Caenorhabditis elegans: one gene and its partner. The protein of the gene in region 2 interacts with the protein of the main gene of each other region in a pairwise test. Each region holds a gene or a part of one and is shown on either strand. Other genes may lie near its edges. The genes, in order: lec-1 and C07E3.3.

Region 1 (5,440 bases), 2.8 Mb from region 2:
AGATTGTCAATTCCGGCAAATTCCCAATTTGCCAGAAATTTTCATTTTGGCAATTTGCCGATTTGCCGATTGGCCGGAAATTGTCATTCCGGCACTTTGCCGATTTGCCGGAAATTTTCATTTTTGGTATTCCGGCAAATTCTGCGATTTGCCGGCTGGCCGATTTGCCGGAACTTTCAAATTCCGACAATTTGCCGATTTGCCGGAAAAAACTCGTTTGTCGCCCACTCACAAATTTTTAAATTGAACTTTTTTAAATTCTAATTAACTTTAGAACCTTTAAGAAAAATTTTGAAATTCTTGCTCAAATATTGACATAAACCGCCTATATACAGTACCTCATAAAAGCCTAGAAAGAATATGTATTCAAATTCAATCATAAATGTGTCACCACCTCATCATAAACAAATCTCTTCTCCCCTCCCATATTTTCTCACAATTTTATCACCATGGTTTCTTCTTCTTCTTCTTCTTCAGAGAGAGAGAGAGCGTCATTTCTCACACACACACACAAAATTTTCCTGCATCTCTCACACACGTTCTGTGCTCTTTTGTCTCTTGTTTACACGTCTGTTGTCTCTCGGACTTTATTTACGAAATGCTGCGTCTCTCCTGCCCTTCTCTCTCTCTCTCTCTATTGCGCCCAGAGACCACACTTTTATTGCCATTGTCGTCGTCGTCGTCGGAAATTTTCTCGCTTTTTCATCTTCTTCTTCTAAATAATCATGTTTTTAAAATTCAATTTTAATTTCAGGAACCACCGAAAAGCCACCACCAGCAAAAAATGTCCGCCGAAGAGCCAAAGTCCTACGTGAGTTTCGTTTCTAACGGTGTTGTAACAACAACAAAAAAGAAAAGAATAGAAAAAAAACCGTATCAGTACGGGGGTGATGAAAGTGCGGCGGCGGCCCCAGTCAAGCGTAAGAAATAATGAAAAAGAAAGGACAGAAACTTTTGGAGAATTTGCCCGTTTCTGTAAGTGTCACCTCTATAGTTCACCACCGATGTTTGGACTACTACTACTACGTGTTGAATCAGAAGGAAGATCAGACGCCGCAAAAAATATATTTGTTGATAGTTGATTTCGAAATTGTAGTTCTTGACACTGATGATTGATCGTTAAGTGAACAATTTTAAAGAAACGATTTTTGCATAACGTCCAGTTTGCAGCAATTCTACAGAATCAGGTTGAAAAGCTTCGAATTTAGAAACGTCTTCAGCTAAAGTGAGACCAAAATGTTTCCATCAAAAGCTCAAAAGGCATTTTTAATCTCTTTTTTCCAGCTTGAAACAATTTCCAGTTGATCTTTAAGATGCTTACCACTCGAATTTCAAATTGCTTCTGCAGTCTTCTATGTTAAGCCGTGTCTCATCATGAATGTCCTTTCTCTTCGATGTCTTGTGCCTTCTTGAAAATCTTCCGACGAGTAGTAACCTCCTTTTTCTCGAATATAGAACAACAAATGGCAGTTTGGCAATTTGGCAATTTGGACAAAACACTAGTACACCATGAGAACCTGCCTAAGATCAATGCCACATTTTTTCTCGCCTTGGCCCTAGTTGTGCAACACCTTTTCAACGTTTGAAGCAGGGGTGGGCGGCAATTGCCGGTTTGCCGGAAATTTCAATTCCGGCAATTTTCCGATTTTCCGCAAATTTCAATTCCGGCAATTTTCCGATTTGCCGGAAATTTCAATTCCGGCAATTTGCCGATTTGCCGGAAAAAAATCGTTTGCCGCCCACCCCCTGGTTTTTGAAGTGCATTTCGAGCCTTTGAAGTTGAAGTTTGCACGTGACGCCCAGACTCGAAATGCGGTAAACAGTAATGCGAAGACGCAAATATTGAGCATGGATTTTGCTCCGAAAACTTTTGTTGTTTGAGTTTCAACAAATCATACAAAAAAAATTTCGAGCTGAAAACTGTACCAACACTCATTATCGATCTCTTCCTCTCCAGAAAGTTCCGTTCCTTTTTTCAATTTCACTGTTTTCTTCGCCTACAACGACACGATGAATCATGGCGAGAAGTCGTATGCGAGAGACTGTACGAGAAGTCGGAGACACAGACAGATGCACAAAAAGAAACATTTCAATGTCGCCTCGCGCACATGCTGTCACCCTCCCATAATTCCATGCTCTCTCTGACTCAATATTGGGCGGCGCTTGCGAATGTTATGACTGTTCAACTGTCTGGTTTCTCTCTCCTCTCACACTCTCAGCTTTTGTTGAAACTGTTTACCGGTCGTCAGTTCTTCGTTTGACTCGCGTCCTGAACGATCGCTTTCAGTTTTCCTCAGCTCAACTCTTTACACTAATGTCTTCCACTCCTCAATTCCTTCGCTGGTACGAGCAGAACAAGGTAAAGCATGCCTCTATACATGGGGGTGTCAGGCTGTCCCATGTTTGATCTACAAAAAAAAGCGGGAATTTTTTCTCCTGCAACTTTTCGGAGATCAAACTGACATGGGACATTCTGACACCAGCTCGAAAATGGAGAGCATTCCAAGTTTGTTGGTTGCCACTAAAGTGACACATTCCTCTCGTTATCTGCTCGCCCACACCTTCGGTTCCATTATCAACATTCGAGATTCCCGCCATATTTCTGGTGTGTTTGCTCGGCGGCACATCACAACAAAATTTTGTGCAAAATGGAGCAAAATGGAGCTAAAAAATAGAAAGCAACTAGACAATGTAGAAAAGGCATTTTTTGTCGTCGTCAGCTGTATGAAAGTCTGGGGAGCGCGAAGATTGGTGGATGCAGATTGGATAACAGCTCTTCCGCTTTTTCGGGTCTCGCTTCTTGCTCGCTTATTCTGTTCACCAGTGTGTGACACGCGAGGTCCCCCCCCCCCCCCAGCATATATTTCTACATGATTACCCTACTGAACATTTTAAAATGGCATATGGAAGAAGAAATGGTTCTAGAAAACTCTACTTATAAATCTATTACCGAAACACAAAATTCTGAGAATGCGTATCGCGCGACATATTTGACGCGCAAAATATCTCGTAGCGAAAACTACAGTAGTTCATTGTTCATTACATGACTACTGTAGCGCTTGTGTGTCGATTTACGGCATTTCACAAGCGCTACAGTAGGCATTTAAGGAGTTACTGTAGTTTTCGCTACGAGATATTTTGCGCGTCAAATATGTTGTGCAGTACGCATTATCAGAAAAATGTGTTCCCGTAATAATCCAATTAATTTTTTAAAAAATTAAAATTTTTAAATTTTTCAGCCAGTACCATACCGCTCAGTGCTCCAGGAGAAGTTCGAGCCCGGACAGACGCTCATCGTCAAGGGATCGACGATCGACGAGTCGCAACGCTTCACCATCAACCTTCACTCGAAGACCGCGGATTTCTCCGGAAACGATGTGCCACTCCACGTCTCTGTCCGCTTCGATGAGGGCAAAATTGTGCTCAACTCGTTCTCGAATGGAGAATGGGGAAAGGAAGAGCGCAAGTCGAACCCAATCAAGAAGGGAGACTCGTTCGACATTCGCATCCGTGCTCACGACGATCGCTTCCAGATCATCGTCGACCACAAGGAGTTCAAGGACTACGAGCACCGTCTGCCACTCTCCTCAATCTCTCACCTCTCGATTGACGGAGATCTCTACTTGAACCACGTTCACTGGGGAGGAAAGTACTACCCAGTACCATACGAGAGCGGACTCGCCAACGGACTTCCAGTCGGAAAGAGCCTCCTCGTCTTTGGAACCGTTGAGAAGAAGGCCAAGCGCTTCCACGTCAACCTTCTCCGCAAGAATGGAGACATCTCGTTCCACTTCAACCCACGTTTCGATGAGAAGGTAAGGGTTGATATATGCCACGAGGCACCACAGAAAGGAGAACCACGACAAAGGAGAACAGGAACCACGTCCATTTTTCCGTGCCGCGAGAGGCACCACATTTTCAGGATCTGGAACCGTACCAACTGCGGTTTTTGCAGTTTTCTCTCGATGAAAAACGAAACAACGATGCTCCGATGTTATGCGTGTTGTTTAGCGTTTTCCAAAAGTTTTTATTTCAAAAAAACATTATTCTGAACGCTAAACAACACGCGACGCGTCATATCGGAGTATCGTTGTTTCGTTTTTCAGCGAGAGAAAACTGCAAAAACCGCAGTTGGCACGGTGCCCCAGATCCTGAAAACGTGGTGCCTCAAAATTTGCGGAAAACTTGCGGCACGGAAAAATGGGTGTGGTTTCTGTGTTCTCCTTGTTCACCTGTTCTCCTTTCTGTGGTGCCTCACACACACATACACAAAAAGACCCGCATTTTGTTTGCTACATTTGGGCAAATATGGCGCTCTTCAACAAACAATTTTATGAGACACAAAAGTTTTGCATGTGTCTATTTCTATTGGTAAAATTGGTGAAAGGACAAAAAAAAATCGATTTCAATAGAAATTTGACCAAATTCTTTATTTCCTTTCTTCCAGCACGTCATCCGCAACTCTCTTGCCGCCAACGAATGGGGAAATGAGGAGCGCGAGGGAAAGAACCCATTCGAGAAGGGAGTCGGCTTCGACTTGGTCATCCAAAACGAGGAGTACGCGTTCCAGGTGTTCGTCAACGGAGAACGCTACATCTCGTTCGCTCACCGCGCCGATCCACACGACATTGCCGGGCTTCAGATCTCTGGAGACATTGAGCTGTCTGGAATTCAAATCCAATAAATTATGTATTGATATCCCCTGTTCCCCCTCTTTCTTCTGTTATCCAGCTCTCCCATTTCTCTCTCTCTCACTGATCAATCTTCCAAAAGTCTACTGCCCCTCTCCCCCCCCCCCCCCCCCAAAAAGAATCATTTCTCTATTATTTCGCACCGGCAACTGAACTGTAATCCCGCGTTTTTCTTTTTGTATCTTTTCTCACCCCCCACATTGTATTTTAATAAAATTGGATAGCAGATTTTCTCGTTGTCATTTCAGGTTTCATATTTTGAAAGCGGATCATCATGAAAAGTTCTGCGAAAAAAACGCGAAAAGTAAGCGAAAACTCGAAAAAACTATATTTGAAAGTACCGCCGTTTTTGTCCAGGAGAGCGCGTTTTCCTCGAGTCACTACAAATTGCACGGAAGTCGAATCGTGAAAACCGCGCGTGTTTCCCATCAGGTTTGCCTACAAAATTTAGTTTTCTTCTTATTGTTAAATCAATAATTATTATAATGTATAATGTGAAGCTCGAAATCTTGAATAATCCTGAATAATCCTGCTATAAACTCGGGTTTCTAAAGTTTTCCTCAGGATTTTTGTTCCCTGGAATGCGTGGTGTCTCCCATTTTTTTTTGGATTTTTGGATTTAAATGCATTTTTCGCTGTTTTTTCTCTCAAATAAGCCGGAAAAATTGAAAATTTTCAGTTTCCGATGAGCGCCGACACGTCGGCTCGTCTTCTTCAGCTTGACCCTCTACTCGAAGCGAAAAATCCGA
Region 2 (6,390 bases):
AAAAACGCGCCCATCACAGTTGATTCGCTCTCAATTAATGCCCCTTCTTCCGGAATCCCAAAAGTATTTCTCAGTGCTATGATGATTTCCAAGTGGAAGGTGAAGACTCTGCATTTGGTTGTTGTTGGAAAAAACATATTAAACGAGGTTACAGTTATTGATTCTAAAAACCTGCGAGGATTCCCCGTATGCAATGGAGGAGCTTCAGTTAAGTTTGACTGGAAAAATGCTTGAAGAAATGAGCAACAATGATTATAAAGTTAAACATTTTCGAAAGTGTTTCCCAACGAAGAAAATGAGTATAAAAATACTCTCCCAAATTGAGAATATTCAAGATATTCGAAAGCTTTGTATTCAGGAAAAGAATCTTGATCTAGCAATCGATATAATTTGTGATAAATCATTGTTACTGAAATTTTGGGTCTCGCAAAAGAATACCCGTGGGAGCTTCTGGAAAATGAAGATGCTGTGAAGAATGACTTGGATGAGTTAAACAAACTAAGGATTACCATGAATAATGACAAGTATCAGAGCAAGATTCGGTTCCAGATTTTGTTGAATCAGTGAAGTTTCATAATTTTGATTTCCAATCATGCATTCTTTAATCCCAAAAAAGGTTAAAAAATTTATTTGCATTTTAAAATTAATTATTGACAATTAATGAATAAATTACATTAATGCTTATCCCCATTCTTTTTTTTTGGATTTTTCAAAATTTCAGAAAAATATTCAATGCAGTTAATGAAGCTTGTCATAAAAGCTGACAACAGGACGTTGTCTCAATGAAAGCGTTGGCATGTACGAATCGTAGTGGAGTCTCTGGAAATTAAAAAGAGTTTTAGTTATTAGCAAGGAATCTCTGGTTACCTCTTCAAAGCACTTTTTCGAGACATTTTGATAATTTGTACCCTCTCCGACGTTTTCCGTGTCGTCCTCGTTGATGGGAATTGTTAGGCGGTTTTCCTAAAGAATATCTTTATTTAACTGAAGATAATAATACTATTCACCTTATCTCTGATGGAATCTTGACTGGCTCTTTTTCTTATCACTACAGGACTTCCATCATTAACCGCCACGTGTGTACAGTGCTCCACTGTGCAGTTCTGTGGCGGCAACACATTCTTTGCCTCGTCATCAGACGATCTTCTTTTGGCAGAAGCTCCGTAGCTTGTTTGAGCTGGAAGCACGTAGACTGGATGTCTTCCAACTTCTGGATGACGATGAAGTAGTTCATTATCGATTGCAGCAGTAGCTACAGTTACGTATGTCACGTTGTTCTTCTCTGGCTGCAACTCGTCATCGATTCCAACGATCATTCGCTTCTCGGCGTGTAGTTCGGAGACATGTGTTGGTGGAACATCATCGATGGGGTTACTGTAGATAGAAATTATGGTGGAGGATTTGGACTCTGCGGGGACATGTATACTCAATGGTCTACGACGACGGTAACTGATTTCTGGGTAGAGATGAGTTTTTGGTTGTGGGAGAACTACCATTTGGTCAAGAGTTTGAGTGGATTTAGATTTGCTGACTGTTACCGGATGTTCTGGTGGGGAAATTATTTTTGGTGGTCTTTCTGGCATGATTCTGGTGTAAGTTTTTGGGTAGGTACCCAAATAACTTTTCGGCTTCTCTTCATATGGAGAATCGTCATTCATAATCACACTAGACGGAGTTGGCGATGGTTGAGGATAGTCAGACAATGGTATACTGTAGGTTGATGTTGATCTAGATCTATAGATATAATGCTGAAGGGGAGTTCCCGGGATGTCTTGATCAAGACTAATCTGGTGGAGCTTTTGAGGGGGAGTGCGTCTAGACGGGGTAACAAGAGTACGGGAAATAGGTTTTTCGAGAGGAGGGGTACTGTATATTGGAGTTGACCTAGGCCTAGACACCTTAAACGGGGTCCACGGAACGTCCTGTTGAAGACGAGTCAAATGGAGCTTGGGAGGCATACGAACAGAAGATGGAGACACCAGGCTACGCGTTGAAGTACTATCTACTGATGGGGTATTATAGACGGATGAAGCGCGGGATCTAGAAATATAATGCTGCAATGGAGTACTAGGAACTTCAGGTTGGAGTGGGGTTAGATGAAGTTTTGCAGCCATTGTTACCGATGGTGGAGGGGTATATCTAGATGGGGAGACTACATTCCTATCCTCTGGTGGAGTACTATAGATCGGGGTAGATCTAGGTCTGGAGATGTAGTGGTTGAGTGGTGTTCCAGGAACTTCACGCTCCAGATGAGTTAGGTGCATTTTTGGAGATGAAGAAGGAGGGGGAGTGTATCTAGATGGGGAAGCTACTGTTCGGGTCGAAGCCTCCTCGACTGGCGGAACGCTATAGGTGGATGAAGAGCGAGATCTATAAATGTAGTGCTGTAGTGGAGTTCCAGGAACTTCTGGTTCAAGTCGAGTCAAATATATTGTTGAAGACACAGGTGGATTAACTGCACGAGGAATCACAATAGGCTCTTCTGGAGGTGTACTGTAAACTGGTCTTGGTCTTGCCACGCATGAGTACAGCGGAACATGTGGTACCTCCTTCTGAAGTCTAGTTAAATAGATTTTTGGTTGTGGAGAACGAGGAGCACTGGCGGTTGATGGTGGTCTACTGTAAAGTGGTCGCCTGGACAATGGAGCCCGCTGAACTTCCTGCTCAAGAGGAGTTAAATAAAGCTCTGATGGGGGAGAACGAGGTGGACTAATCGTAGATGGAGGTCTATCGTATAGTGGTCTTCTAGGTACCGGAGCACGAGGGATATATTCAACCGATGAAGCAGTACTAATAGTTGACGGTGGTCGACTGTAGAGGGGTCTTCTAGGTAGGGGAGACGTTGGAACATCTCTTTGAAGATTGGTATGATAAATTGGAGTACTGCTTCTTGATGGAGGGGGTGAATATTTTTTGTTCTGATTTGAGAATGGTATGACTATGATTCTAGAGTCTCCGGGATCACTGTACTCAGGCTGTCGGATCACAGATCGTTCAAGAGGGACTGGCGGAATTTCTTTTTGAAGCGGAGTTTTTGAATAACGATAGGTAGGTCTAGGAATGACTATGGGCTCTTGTTTCAGATTATTTGTAGCAGTAGTACGATAGACTGAGGTCATCGTAATTTTGTCCATCGAATGATACGACTGACTTAAAGGGATGCTAGAAACGCGAGAGTTGGTTGGCTTAGTCTGGCTGGGTTTAGATATTCTACGATAGATTGGTGTTTCTTGGGGAACCTTGTCGAGAGCTGTAGTTGAGTTTGATGAGAATGGGATTATGACTGTTCGAGGACTGTCGGATCTACGATCCACTTTAACAGGAATCACATAGGTACTATTAGATGATGGTGGGATTGGAGGAGATGTTTGAATACGGACACGGTGGCTCATTGGCGTTGGAGTTATGGAACGTGGACTTTTTTGGACTGGGACTTCATCATAGGTTGGGATACGACAATACAGACTATGGACACTAGGGCTACGAGGAATCTGATCATATTTTGGAAGTTTCGAGGCTCGAGAACATGTTGAAGCTAAGGAAGTTCGAGAAGAGGTTTTTGAAGCTTCAGAAGCTCGGGAGTACATTGTATTCCTGGGAACTTCGTCATACTTTGGGAGTTTAGTACCTCTTGAGTAGGTGGCGTATGGTTTTACCGATGTTTCTTTCAGCTTTGAAGCTTTCGAGTAAGTTGTACTTCTAGGTGGTTCAGGGGTATCTCCATAAGTGGTATAGGTAGTGACAGTGGTAGTTTTACAGTATTGGGCTTTGGGGGTTCGTTCATACCTTGGACTCATCGGTGGAATGTAGCGTGGCATTGGATGTGGATCGACTTCCGATTGACGTGGCAACGGGGATACTCTGCCACCAAACACTGAAGATCGCTTCGGATAGTTTGGTGGAGACTGCTTGCTGGGAACTTCACGGCGTTGAAGTTCAGGGGATGGATCGATTGGAACTTGGTCGTAGCGGCGAGTGGAAGAAGTTGGAATTGAGAATTGTCGGCCTTCATTAACTTCGGTCATTGGTTTCAGTGCGAAATAAGTGGCTGGATCAGATGGAGAAGCATGTTTCATCGAATCGTAATGATTGAACTCATTGTACAAGTTTCCTTGTGGTGCAGGTTGGTTTTGGCGGTACGCATCGATGATTGGCTGGAAATTGGGTTTTAAAATCATTCAGTCATCAAATAAAATACCTCTCGACTCTCGTGTTGTCTGATTCTCAACGTTTCCAACTCGACCTCTCTCTTCCTCAACTGCTCTCTTCGGATCCGGTCACGAAGCTCATCCTCTCGAAAATCAAACGGCTCAGCGGTTTCTGTGGACTGAAAAGTGAAAGTTAGTCTTGATTTATCCTTAGGTAAGTTTCTCACAAATTGTGCATCAGTCTGATGTTCTCTGCTCACTCTTCGTACTCCTCTAACTGGCGTCTTCTCGCCTCCTTCCGGGTTCCGAAGATCGTAGGATTGACTATGTCCCATTGTTTCTGCTAGCGGTCTGAAAAATAAAAATGAATTTGCAAACATTAGGAAAACTCTGAAAGTGTAGCAAAGAAGTATATTTAAAACACCGAATTGGAAGCTGTTGCTTCTGTTCTGTATATATAAAAAATGACGAATATGAGCTATAAAAAGAAAATCAGAAGGAATTGTGGAAAATATTATTCCTCAAGAAACTGAATGATCATCGAGTAAGCGGAGTTTAGGTGTATTGATGTCTCTTAAAAAGTACGAACGAAGACGAGTCAGATGACAAACTCCCTCCCACCGCAACCATTAAACAACCATCATAAGCAACCTAAAACAAACAGGGAGAAATGGAGAAAAAACATTTTGAGTCACTCTCTTCTACCATTTTATGGAAAAATATATGGAGAAAGAAAGAAATAGAGAGTTTTGTGAGTGAGAAAATAAACAAGAATCATTTTATGAGCAGAGTTTGGAAAAAAAATTATTCGCATTTTTTCCTCTAAAATCTTACACAAGAAATAATATACAAAAAGTTTTAAGATAGAGCGTGAGAAAAAGGCTCAAAAGTAGGCTTCAATTGTAGGCCGATATTTAGAAAAATTACACAATTTTCATACCTCGGAAAGACATTTTTTAATGTGTTGTAAATTTACTCATAATGATCAAATGTTTTGATAAAACACTTCAAATAAACATTTCGATCTTCTTTTTCATTAAAAGTTTTGAAAAATTACCAAAATTTCCAAAACTTTCGTTTGGAAATTTGGACAGACCTCAAAATGGTGTTAATTAACACGATTAAGAAATGAAAATACGGAAATTAGCGAGAAAGTGAGTGACAGGCGGAATAACAACGACACACATAAAAAGTAAATTATCTGATTGACATATACACATATATTTTCACGCACTTTGCTTGATCCACCGACATGATTTCAATCCCTGGAGACAAATTCTAATTAGAGACCGTAGGAGACTAAGTGATTTAGAGAGATTGTCAAGCGGAAACCGTACAAAAAGCGGTGCGCAACATCGAATTGTTGCTGGGGGTTGCAAAAAAGTTTTTCTATTCCTAGATATCTGATTTATTAAGTTTTTACAAGATAAGGAGATATTTTGGATAGTAGGGTTTGAATAATTTAACTTGGGGTAATGTCTAATAGTAAGTTTCGAATTCAAGTTCAATTTAAAGTAGACAGAGCATTCATAGTTTTGAGCATTTTTAAAAATATATTCAACGCGTTTTAAATTTAGTCTTCGCAGAAACTTATGAATAGCAAGAACTGAGTAATTACCTATCTAGTTTTAAATGTTCTAATATCAAAAAGTTCAAAGAATGCTAAAAATCATACGTCACACTTCCTATGTTCAAATGACATATGAAATGAGTCAAAAAGTGAGCACAGGGGGAAGTGCACACAAGAACTCGGTGTTTTGTCAGTTCTTCGGATTATTATTATTGTTAGTGAGTTTGACGAAAGAAGAGTCGAGTGACCGATTGGAACGATCATCAGGGAAGTTTCAAGCAGATTTGGGAATTTTAAAACTTGCTTTTAAAGTATTGAACATTTCGAGTTAATTTAATGTTTGCCGTGGCGCTGTTTTGGCAAGAGTACAAGACTGCTTATTTCAGTATGATGATACAACTTTTTGATTCAAAACTTGATATGGAAGTGTAGAAAAATATATGTTTAATCTGATAATAATATTTATTTTTGTTTAAAAAATTGAAAAATAATTGAAATTGTGCCAAAAACTTTTAACGGTAGGTTTTTTAAATATTTTTTAAACAAAAACCAATATTATTTCAAATGAAAACTTATATTCTCTTACATTTCTATGTATATTAATTTTTGAATCGAAACGTTGGACTATCATACTGAAATAAAAAGGTTGTGTTCGTTTGCCAAGAATGACCC

Evidence for each region.
Region 1: the proteins of C07E3.3 (region 2) and lec-1 interact in a two-hybrid assay, tested with the Caenorhabditis elegans proteins (2 studies listed by BioGRID).

The regions. Positions count from the first base shown.
Region 1 is NC_003280.10:13,194,795-13,200,234, forward strand, and holds lec-1 (Galectin), read left to right. Parts: upstream 1-2,151; 5' UTR 2,152-2,314; coding exon 2,315-2,359; intron 2,360-3,239; coding exon 3,240-3,815; intron 3,816-4,447; coding exon 4,448-4,684; 3' UTR 4,685-4,919; downstream 4,920-5,440. Other genes in the region: btf-1 (BTAF (TBP-associated factor) homolog), read left to right, coding at 5,377-5,440. UniProt on the Caenorhabditis elegans protein: Binds galactose.
Region 2 is NC_003280.10:10,353,020-10,359,409, forward strand, and holds C07E3.3 (SH2 domain-containing protein), read right to left. Parts: upstream 4,500-6,390; 5' UTR 4,484-4,499; coding exon 4,376-4,483; intron 4,328-4,375; coding exon 4,199-4,327; intron 4,155-4,198; coding exon 1,008-4,154; intron 964-1,007; coding exon 868-963; intron 820-867; coding exon 739-819; 3' UTR 614-738; downstream 1-613. Other genes in the region: C07E3.8 (DUF223 domain-containing protein), read left to right, coding at 1-234.